Drosophila melanogaster: one gene and its partners. The protein of the gene in region 1 interacts with the protein of each later gene in a pairwise test. Each region holds a gene or a part of one and is shown in the gene's direction. Other genes may lie near its edges.

What was found. The genes of interacting proteins can lie anywhere in the genome.
Region 2: the proteins of azot (region 1) and CG14759 interact in a two-hybrid assay, tested with the Drosophila melanogaster proteins (one large-scale study listed by BioGRID).
Region 3: the proteins of azot (region 1) and ND-B14.5A interact in a two-hybrid assay, tested with the Drosophila melanogaster proteins (one large-scale study listed by BioGRID).

Annotation. Positions count from the first base shown.
Region 1 is NT_033778.4:7,947,715-7,951,577, forward strand, and holds azot (ahuizotl), read left to right. Parts: upstream 1-2,124; 5' UTR 2,125-2,174; coding exon 2,175-2,621; 3' UTR 2,622-2,751; downstream 2,752-3,863. Other genes in the region: CG14764 (uncharacterized protein), read right to left, coding at 1-806; CG30378 (uncharacterized protein), read left to right, coding at 2,789-3,235.
Region 2 is NT_033778.4:8,257,879-8,261,579, forward strand, and holds CG14759 (uncharacterized protein), read left to right. Parts: upstream 1-1,962; 5' UTR 1,963-2,157; coding exon 2,158-2,538; 3' UTR 2,539-2,605; downstream 2,606-3,701. Other genes in the region: CG30369 (uncharacterized protein), read left to right, coding at 1,529-1,792; CG2291 (uncharacterized protein), read right to left, coding at 2,987-3,322.
Region 3 is NC_004354.4:2,170,752-2,174,528, forward strand, and holds ND-B14.5A (NADH dehydrogenase (ubiquinone) B14.5 A subunit), read left to right. Parts: upstream 1-1,774; 5' UTR 1,775-1,891; coding exon 1,892-1,954; intron 1,955-2,054; coding exon 2,055-2,303; 3' UTR 2,304-2,681; downstream 2,682-3,777. Other genes in the region: CG3630 (uncharacterized protein), read left to right, coding at 38-334, 404-1,177; Cyp4d14 (cytochrome P450 4d14), read right to left, coding at 2,746-3,649, 3,713-3,777.

The DNA of each region.
Region 1 (3,863 bases):
CGAAGAAAGTTAAACTCCTCAGCTTTCGACTCAAAGTAGTCGAACATTTTTGGATGCGTCAGAGAGGATACCGCCGTCGCTGTGTTCCATCCGAGCACTCCAGCGGACTTGACTGCAGATTTTCCCACTCCTGGATTCATAACGATGCTCTGCAGACTTCGCAGCTGGGCGGAACCTCCGCGCACGCGCATGCTGTTTTCCAAGAAGAGAACCGATCGGGCACGCATAAGACCGTCCTTAATTACAATGGGCCGGTAGGCGTGCGTCCGCTGATCGGCGACGAAGGAGGGAAACTCCGACAGATCATAGGTGATCACCGAGCATCGGCTGTTATTACAGTAGGCGCCCAAATCCCGTAGTTGCTCCTCGGAAACGCCCAAATCGTAGATTAGCAGGTACTCGCTGGGAAGCTTGGCGGCAATATTCTGGGCCAGCAGGATGGCCGATGCGGCCTGCCCCTCCAGCACATAGCTGACGATTGTGAAGTTGCTCTTTGTACCGTTGTACGGCGTCGTGATCCGCTTCCGCTGCCCCTTTTGATCTCCTGCCTGACTACCGAAGGTAACAGCATCCTGTGGACGCCGCAGACCTCGCAGTTCGCTGAGCTCCAGTTCCGCTTTTGTAGCCGGCGCTGAAAAATCTGTCTTTGGCAGTTGCTGACCTGGTGAACCGATGTCCACCACATTTTGCTGATCCAGCTGCTGCTGTTGGCCTGTAGCTTCATTTGACGAGGTGAAGCCCAGAAGAAGCAAATACTTTGGGTCTATTTCGAGCTTTTTGCGTTCCAAGCCAACGCGGAGGTTTTCCTGCAAGAAAAAAAATTAAATTTGCAATAAATGAATATTTTTGGTTTATCCAAGAAATAAACAAGAGATTTATTATTTAAGTTTTGACATACGGTTCCCGAACCCCACTCTTAGAAAATTATTTATGTCGGGCCAGGCGGCGTTAATGGTCAAAAAATATGGCCAGAATTTGCCTCGTCATAGGAACAATTCCGAAACACACATGTGAGATATGTTTCCATTATGGCCCTCTAGCACACTTCCTCTGTTTCGCCGAAACTAGCCCAAACAAATACCCAAACACAACCAAAAATCAAATGAGCCGCACAATGGAACCCTCTCGTGCCGATGTCAAATTCTTGTCTATTATTTGCTTAGACTGTGGCCAGAGTAAAGCGTGCCGCATTCTCTGCCCACCCCCCCGGGCACTACCACTCCTCCGGCAGCCAAAAACCGGTGTCAGGTGTGTCCCACTGCGGTCAGGTGAAAGGGCCGAGGGGGAGAAGCACTGGAATTAACCTGCGGCAAAAAGGCAGCCGCCAAAGTTGCAGGCTAGGCGCCAAACCCAAATCGCATGACAACCTTTCTGTGCCGATAGCAACCACTACACTTGTATGGCAGTACACTCAAAACACTCTTGTTAAGTATGAATAGTATGGTATGCTGATTCATAGATAGATTATTTAATGTATAGCAAAACTTACGAATAAGTTTAAGCAATCAAGAACAAAATCTTACATTTACATTTTTATACCAGTTACTCGTGAAGCTAAAGGAGTTATTCATCCAGATCACTAGTCGATCTGGATAAGCCCGTCTGTCCTTCCGTCTGCCTGTCCGTCCGTATGAACGTCGAGATCTCGGGAACTATAAAAGTTCACTAATGTTGTTTTCATTCTACACAAATATTTTGGCGTTGCAAACTTCTGTTGAGTTCTTGTATTTCGAATAGCGAAAAGATGAGCCTTTTTTTTCTTGAGTGTGCGTTGGAACAATGACGGTGATTGTACACATTCTTACTCCTTAACTTTCCTCGAACGGCACTCTCCTTCTGTTTTGTTAACGAACAACGAAAGATACTAGCTGACGTCCGTTGCTGGGTCGCAATTGAAACCGATCAGCTGCAAGGCCTCCTCGCCCAAGGACATTCGAATCAATCAACTCTGTCCGTGCGGCACTGCGCTTATATAACGAGCATATTGATTTTGTGCCATTCGGTGTTGTGCACTGTGCAGCGCAGTGAAGCCACCGGGGGATGTTCATTTTACCATTTTTCACATTTCACTGAGTTCAATGTCAGGACCTTGTTTCATCCAAACATCAGTTGACACCTACATATAAACAGAGCAATATACAACTCTTCCGAGAAACTATAATATACCAGTTAAGATGGAGGATATTTCGCATGAGGAGCGAGTCCTGATCCTTGACACTTTCCGTATTTTGGACAAGGACAACGAGGGCGCCATAACATCTAAAGAGATGGCGGTGGTGATTCGCGCCCTGGGTCGCCAGCCCAACGACGCCGAGGTTCAGTCCATGATCAATGAGGTGGATTCGGAGGGAAACGGATCCATCGTGGCTCCGGAGTTCTGCAATGTGATTCTGCGCAAGATGCGCGACACCAACCATGAGGACGAGCTGCGCGAAGCTTTCCGAATTTTCGACAAGGATAACAATGGCTACATTACCACCACCGAGCTAAAAAATGTGTTCACCGCGCTGGGCGTAAAGCTCAGCGACGACGAGTTGGAAGAAATGATACGCGAGTACGACTTGGATCAGGACAATCACTTGAATTACGAGGAGTTCGTCAACATGATGACAATGCGATAGCCTCCATGTGAGTACTCGTATAGAAGGCTGGCTTGATTTCTATCCAACAAAAAGTCGGCGTTCTGTCTGTGTTCAGTTTAAATTCTTTATGTTCACACTGACAAAAGCACATGAAACATTAGTCCACTACAAAAAAAAAAAAAAAAAAGAAAATCACTTTGGAAACAATGAGCGGCAGTTTGACCGAGGCCCAGATTGAAGAAATTCGAGAAGCATTCAGTTTGTATGACAAGGAACGGTCCGGATGGGTTTCCGTCCAACAGCTCGGCGGAGTAATGCGGGCCCTTGGAGAGAGTCTCACCGAGGCGGAGATCTACGACCTGGCCAACGAAAGTAACGCCGACTTCGGTGGGCAGGTGCAGTTCAAGGACTTTCTATACGTGATGAGCAAACGGCTGGAGGAGCAGAACAGTCTGGTGTGCCTAAAGCAGGCCTTCAAAATCTTCGATCGCAGCGAAGTGAACAGCTTTACAATTAACGAGATCAGAATGGTGATGACCAACCTGGGCGAGAAGATGTCCGAAGAGGACTTGCGCGAGTTGTTCCAGGACATTGATCAGGACAAAGATGGAAAGATCTCCTTCAACGAATTTGTTACCGCCATGCGAAGCTAGGAATTCCAAATTGAAGGCACAAATTAACCACGAACCCCTTTCGAAAGAGCCCAACCCAGTCGCGTTTTCCCTACGCCTAGGCGGCACCACTTGAAATTCCCAACCAAATTCCTTTGGCTTACTCAACGCAGCGCCAGAAAGTCGGCTGTTAAACCTTGTCCGAAGAAGTCCACTTGTGTGTGTCCATGTGGCACGGCGCGTGACTCCGAAACGGTCGCATGTGCCTAATGGCCGCTGGGGAGTGCCAGGATATTCGAAAGGGTGATGGCGATGGGCCAGAGCAATCATAAAATCGAGCCACGCTGATTACGATGCCAATTTAAATATTTGACCATGTGCTGGACTGGACTGGACTCGCTGGTTTCCTTTTTGTCTGACCAAGTTTACAAGTGGCATGATTTTGGGTTCAAGTCTTATCGCACCTTGCTCTTTTTAAATTACCTTGTTATCTATTGGCACCCTTAATACGCATACAACATACATTGTCCATGACTCATTCGGCAATTATAAAAGCCCACCTTGGCAATAAAATATTGTCAAGTGACTAGTGACTAATAATTTGTAAGGGGGAAAGGTTTATAAATTTGAATGCGCCTTCGTGCATGGATTTCAGAACATATATAAAAGA
Region 2 (3,701 bases), 310 kb from region 1:
GGGGGCGTGGTAGGGCTGGGGGTACTTTCGTACTCTGGTGGCACTAATTGAAAAGCAGCAGCCACTAACAGCAGCCGTCGCTAAAGGGCTGCCAAGGGATTGGTTTTAGAGAGCATTGCTACAGTAGAAATGTAATAACTTTGATTAATCCGAAAGCAAAGCAATAGTTGGTATTTCTCATCTGAAAGTAAAGGAACTAGTTAGCATCTGTTTTCATTTAAACCATGAACCATGGGAACCATGAAGATGATATACTTGGTATCGCTGAGTTATTACTTACTTTTGTGCTCAGGAATGTATATATTGCATAGATTAAAGTTATTAGGAGGGTTATATTACTATTTATGAATTATGGTGTAGAAATCTATAATTTTAGTTCCCAGTCATCCTGCGATTGTCCACTGTACGAAGAAAGCCAATGCGCACAACGCTTTTTACTTCGTGCTTTTTTTCTGGCAATTTCCTTTGCATACTTTTGTGCTGCTTTTGATTACAAAATGGCGGCTATCCGGGATGTTGGGTGCTCCTGCAGGACCTGCTGGCTCCAGTTGCAGTCGTAATGCAGCCTAAACATTGCGTTTAGTTCTCGTTTTGCTGCATCTACAACTGCTGCAATCGCCTGGACTTTGACTATTCATTAGCGTGTGTGCTGGTGTGGGGGGTGTGCATCTGTATCTGTGCGACGGGGATGAGGGCCAAAAAACTCTAACAAGCTCAAAAAGCAATTTGCGAGAGGCCGGCTAAAAAATTGGCAAAAATATCGACGTGCCGGCTCATGCAATTGACGTTTTGCGGGCGTGTGGGAGAGGGATTTTCGCGGACTAGGGATTGGGGTCTGTTACATAAAACCACGCGTTGCACAAAAGCCGCCAAATCGTCGTCGCTGAAAAGCCCCAGCGATGAAAATACAAAATGGCCGATCCACATGCAATTCCGCACTGTTCCAGCCAACTATTTCTATTTAACAAAACGCCACTTAAACGCCAAAACGGTACTTAAAGTAGCTGTGCATAGTATATTAAATAAGCTTCATATTAGTTTACTACCAATTAAAATGAATCTGCACTCTATGGTCTAGAGCGAACTCACAGAGAATATACTTTTCGGAACAGCTATGCAAATGGTTTGCTAGCCCTCAGAAGTAAATTCGGTTTGTGGTCAGAAATTAGTACACAGCACTTTTTTTTCGGCACGTAGCCCCTGCACACACGACTGGGCCAATTAAATCCATTTACATCACAAAAATCGAGTATGTGAAACCATTTTATTTCTAGGTTCAAAATCGAAATTAAAAGGTATTAGCCTTACCAAGTTTTCACATTGCATATTCAACAATACCAACTAGGGTTGGATTTATAGAATCCATGCCTATTTACTAAAATGCCATTGAAAAAGTATATTCGAATCAGTTTTCAATTGTCTGAAAAGTAGGCGCTTTTAATGAAATCAGAAACCCTAGTTTATCTTTTTGGCTTCGATTAAATTTGAAATATCAGTCAACGTATTTTTAAGCCCCGAACCTGCAGCCATGATGTCCTTTGGTCGAGTTCTCGGGGGCCTATCCGTTTTACATTTTTCCCGGAACAGAAGTTTGCATCAAAGGAGGACGAGGCGACCATTTCCTGTAGTTCCCGACGCGAGGATTAAGACCCCGGCGCAATCAACCCGACCACCCCGCATCCTGGTGAAGAGCTTCTTGGCCCTCCATCATCTGGATTCTGTGTACATGCAGGGTGCTCCTCGTGATCTTAGAGACTATTTTATGTCAAGCTGGAAAAACGAGAGAAAATGATATCCCCCCTTGACTTTACCATTCGTAACCATGGGAATCGCCCTTGCGGTCAATATTAAAAATTTAAAGTTTTTGGAAAAAATACTGTTCTAAAAATATATTACGTTATTCGACTTGTTGGAAGATTCATTTTTTAGCAAGAAAGTGACTTGCCGCTGAACTATATACGGAATTTTAATTTAGTGAGGAAAAACGTCCATATCAATTCATTTCAAGAATTGCAAAGCCAATACATAAAAGTAGGCCCGATAGATACATTCATATAATATGAAACCTTTTTTTATATAACTTAAATTTTACTTACATTGGTTAACCTAAATTTTAGTATTTCTTTGACCAACGGTACGGCATCCACCTATGGCATAATGTTCACCGGTCGGCTTCTCATCGGGTCCCCGATATTCGAGGCTAAGATGCGGCTACAGCAGAGGCGACGAATGTCAGAGCACAGGCTTCCGTACCATCGCAGACCTGCGCCCGTAAAGCTCCAGGACCGTAAGAGTTCATGGACCGATCTAAAAAGGCCGCCCTTCCTGCTGGTCAAGAGCTTCCTCAACTTGCGCCACATGGACGCCGACTACGGGAAGGACATGACACGAGTTACGGACGAGCTAAGTTTCCAGCCCCACCGCACCCTCTTAATCAATACCGTGCGAGGGCCGCATCGTCAGTTTTCGGACACGGAACCAATTGCGGACATGATGGATAAAAGTCCGGTAGCTTTGGACTCGGATTCGAAGCCGTGAGTGTGGGTAATAGCGTTTAAATGGAAGATAATGTATTTTAATATAAATGTTTATTTTTAATTTTATCAAATAATACTTTGATATATATGAGGGGTATACGGTTCTCCAATAAATAAGGGGGGGGGGGGGGTGACACATTTGGCCTTGGCCTTATTTCAATTTAAAGGTACCATCTAAAATCTGGCCAATACTCATACATAGTCCTACTAAGTTCAAACGAAGTGCACAATAAACTTAAGAGGTAACGGATTTATTCTGTGCTGAATTATATTGCAATTTGAGCGGACGACCGAGTTGGATCCGTTTATCTGGCCTCAAAATTCTTACTATTGTACAGTTTGCATGTGGGTTTGGGATACTTCGTTATGGATAGACTGGGGGGGGGACTATACTCGTACAAGACATGTCCGGATGGAAATTGATTGCAGAGAGCTTCAAGAGAAACCGTCTAGATATCGTAGGTGCCATAAACCATTCGTCGCCGGAAGTCTGCCCAGCGGTATCGCGGATTGCGGAAGCGGGTCGTCTGCACCTCTCCGTGATCCTGCGCCTGCTCCTGGTACTTATGAAAGTTCTTAACAAAGCATCGCGGAGCATGATGGTACTCTGGATTGGGTTCATCCCGCTGGTGGCACAGGACTTCGTCGATCTTCTTCAGATCCCCAACGCACTGGTTTCGGCGCGTCGAGTAGGCGAATCTTCCAGTCATCCGGGACGTGGCTTGCTGGACCGCCAGTCGGACATAGGCGGATAGGGCCGATTGGTTTCCATTGGCTGGCAGCATTTGGAAAGGGGATGAAACTAGTCGGATTTGCCTGTAATTTCGTGGTCCGGATACCTTAGGTATTGGTTAGCCTTCAGCTGGATGCAGTTGTACTGTGGTGTAGCGTTTATTTGGCTTAAAGGATTGGCCGAAAGGAGGGAGTATGTAAATTTAAGACTTGTCTATTGTATTAGTTTGCCTGTTAAATGGGAGGAACGTAGAAAAAGTAAAACGGGGCTATGTGTTACTAAAAGCTGACTAGTTAAAAAGAAAAGCTGACTGGGTTAAAAAGAAACCTCCTCTTAAAGCCTCTTCTAGAACATATTCAGTTAATTGTTCGATAAGCAGCTAAGTGTACCTATCACACATTTCATTTTCTTTTGGCTAACCTAAAAAATGA
Region 3 (3,777 bases), on another chromosome or scaffold:
GCCGATTTAAGCCATTTGTGTTCTTCGTTACTTGCAGGACTCACCACTGTCCTCCAAGGTGGCCATGTTCAACAACCAGGCCACGCAGCACAAGCAGTCGCAGCTGCTGAATCCATTTTCCCAGGACGGACGCGCCGCCTCGCCGAAACCCACTTTCTCGAAGGATCAGTATGGAAAACCACTGGCCGGCAGCCTTACAGAGATGCGTGGCCAGAAGGCCAACATCCACGTGATGAAGGAGATGCTGGAGCTCTGCCAGATCATCAATTCGGAGGGCTACGACGTCAAGGACGAGCCCACTATGCGTGTGATCCCCTTCGGCGAACTTTTTAATGTGAGTGTCCTGTTTACAGCTGGTATATTTTTCGAAAAGCCCTCTAAACTGGTCACTTCCACTCTACAGATCTATAACTACATATCCGACAAGGTGGTGGGCATCCTGCTGCGGGCCCGCAAACACAAGTTGGTAGACTTCGAGGGCGAGATGTTGTACCAGCGGAGGGACGATGACGTTCCCGTCTTTCTGCTGAAGCCCATCAAGGAAATACGCAGTGAGATGGAGGCCAAGATTGAAGACATCAAGAGGGCGGCTAGTCCAGCGCCTCCGCAGTCCACCTCGGTGCTGATGGATCGCAGTGCTCACGAACAAAAACTGAAGTCGAGGACTCCCTCGCCGGCTGTGGGCAAGTCCGCCAAGTCGAAGTCAGCGTCGCCGGCACCCAAGGCTCCTGTACCTGTTCCTGCGCCTGCTGCAGAAGTCACGCCTGTGGCTGGGCCCACAACTTCTGCAGAACCTGCTCCTGTGGCAGAGTCCACTATGGCAGCAGTTCCAGCTCCGTCTACAGAGCCCACACCGGCAACAGCTCCTGCTTCGAGTACCGTTGAGATCGAGCCAGCCAAGCCAGAGGTGACCGAACAGGCGCCCGTGGCTGTGATAGTCACAGAAGCACCATCCACAGAAGAAACCACACCAACCACCAGCGAACCGCAGGCGGAGGAAGCACCCGCTGCAGTTGCACCGGCAGGACCTGCTGATGACTTACCCACAATTGTGATTGAAGCCACCGCCGAGTTTGTACGCACCGTCAGCGTGGAGCAGCTGGCGCCCAGTCCCGGAACGGCCAGCGAGTCCTCGCCAGACCAGTCCCAATCCCAACCAGAGTCGACGCCCGCTTAAGGCGGAACAGGGAGCTTGTTAGCTGGGAAGGAAGGAAGGAACATCCCCTTAAATCGTTTAAAAGGAACTCTCGCAACTACTAAAGCGGCAGCTTTAAATTGCAGTAGTTTAGTTTACGGCGTACTTAGTTTAATTTACAATTAGAGCAACACAACACTGAAGACAGAATCGAGAGTAACTTTTTATTTATTATTATTACTTGTATATTATTAATGGACGACCAAAGGAGCCAGTTTCCTCAATTTGTTAACCATTACTCTATGGAAATGAACTACGGTTTCCCACTCACAAAAGTTGGGAACGTGCAAGGCAATAAAATACTAATAAAATAAATACACGTACATAGACACAATATAACCAAGTCCTGTTTTTCTAGTTTCAAAACGATTGGAAGTGCTGGTTTCATAACTAACTAAATGACTCATTGCCTAGGCAGTTTTATGTGCTCTTTCTCGTAGTTGTTCTCTGCTTTTAATCTTTAATTAAAAATTCGGCCGTTACTATATCAACTTTTCTTCGCGATAGTTATCGATAAGTATATCAATTGCAGGGCAGCAAAGCAAAGTTAAGAGGACGAGGCGTGGGTATCGATTAACGATACTTCGTAATTTCAAGCAGCTGATATCGATTGGACGACAGGGCTGGACCTCACAAATAAATATAAAACCAAAATATTCAGTGGTTTCTCAATTTGAAGAATAATACAAACGGAAAATGTCTGCCCTGCGCCGTGATGTGTCGCCTTTAATCCAGCGCATTCGGGCCTTCCTCCTGGGTGTGAGTATCCGACATTTGGACAGCGACCGCAGAGAACTCGGTTCTCAGTTATATAAGACGGAAAATGTGAATCTCTGATTAATCTGGACGCCAATTACAGCGGGAGCACAACCTGGCCCTGCGCTTCGAGGACGGACTGGCCGATCGCACCCAGCCACAGCCGGAAATCCCTGACGGTCCATCGCATCTACTCTCGGCCAACTACTACTGCCAGCGGGATGGACGTCGCGAGGTTCTGCCGCCCATCGACCTGGTGGAGCAGCAGAAGCAGCTGGCGGCAGAGGGGGAAGCGGCGAAGGCCCCGTCTTCCAAGCTGCCCACTCCCGGCAAGGTCTATGCCTGGGATTAATGGGCCGCATCACCGCGGGAATCGCCTTTTTTTGAGTTGTAGTACGAGCCGGTTAAAGCTAATATAGAATCAAATTGAAGCAGAAATGCGTGCATTGGTATGTTCAGTGATGAAGGGCCAAGTGAAAGGCCCCTTACCAGCCCACAATGTTTCGAAACCCCACTTCCGGGAAAAATCACCATCCATTTTTTTTTGAGTTGTAGTACGAGCCGGTTAAAGCTAATATAGAATCAAATTGAAGCAGGAATGCGGGCATTGGTATGTCCAGTTATGGGGGGCCAAGTGAGAACCCCTTACCAGTCCACATTATTTCCAAATCACACTCGCCGGAAAAAACACCATCCATCACTGGATATCATTATGTACAAGTATTTTATTCAAATATTTACAGAGCCCATCACTTACAACTAGTTAAAAAAAAAAAATCACAATCCAGGAACACCTAATAGACGCGCGGCTTGAGGCCACAATTGATTCCGGTGGTCGAGCGCAGGATAACGTTCAGTACGGGCTGGACTTCTTCGCCCAGAGGCAGCAACTCAAAGTGTCTCACCATTTTGCTGATGGTGCTCTTCATCTCGAGCATTGCGAACTTTTGGCCGATGCAGTTTCTCGGACCCGCTGAGAAGGGAGTATAGGCGAATGGACTGATCTCGCCCTTGCGCTCCATGCTGAAACGATCAGGGATGAACTTCTCCGGATCAGGGAAGTAGTCTGGATCGCGCTGAGCATGGTAAATAAGAATGATCACATTCGAGTCGGCGGGTATCAATTTGCCGTCGAGTACGGTGTCCTGGGAAATGTAGCGTCCAATGATCGGCACCGAGGGAAACAGGCGCAGAGACTCCTTTATCACGCACTCTAAGTACTTGAGCTCGCCGAGTAGCTTCATAGTAACTGGAGCCGACTTGTCATCACCGATAACATCTCTGACCTCCTGGAAGACGCGAGCCTGAACCTCAGGATGTCGAGCCAGCAAATAACAGGTAAAAGCAATGCTACTGGTCGTAGTGTCATGACCCTCGAACATGAAGGTGTCTACCTCCTCGCGGATGTCGTCGTTGCTCAACGGAGCCCCATCGATGGTGGACTTCAGCAGCACATCAAGAAGAGCCATACGACGCTTCTGGCCCACATCGTTCAAGAGGGCAGCGTCGGCATCTCCTCCATCGGCAATGGCTTTTTGTAGGAGCTCGCGTCGCTCAGTGATTACCGAGTTGGTAAAGTCGTGCATGTTCTTCACGGCATCATTCAGCTTGTCTAGCAATTTGGGATAGAAGAGCTTCATGGTGAAATCCAAGCGCTGCAAGGGATTCATGAAGCGTTCGGCTAACATTGCAGAGGCACTAAAAAGATGTGCTCATATGGAATAAAGTCCGCCGATAGTTAATATAGGTTATAATACTTACGTTGTGACCGACTGAACGTAGGTAAATTGCGGCTGGAGCTGAGCATTAATTTTTACACCCATGGC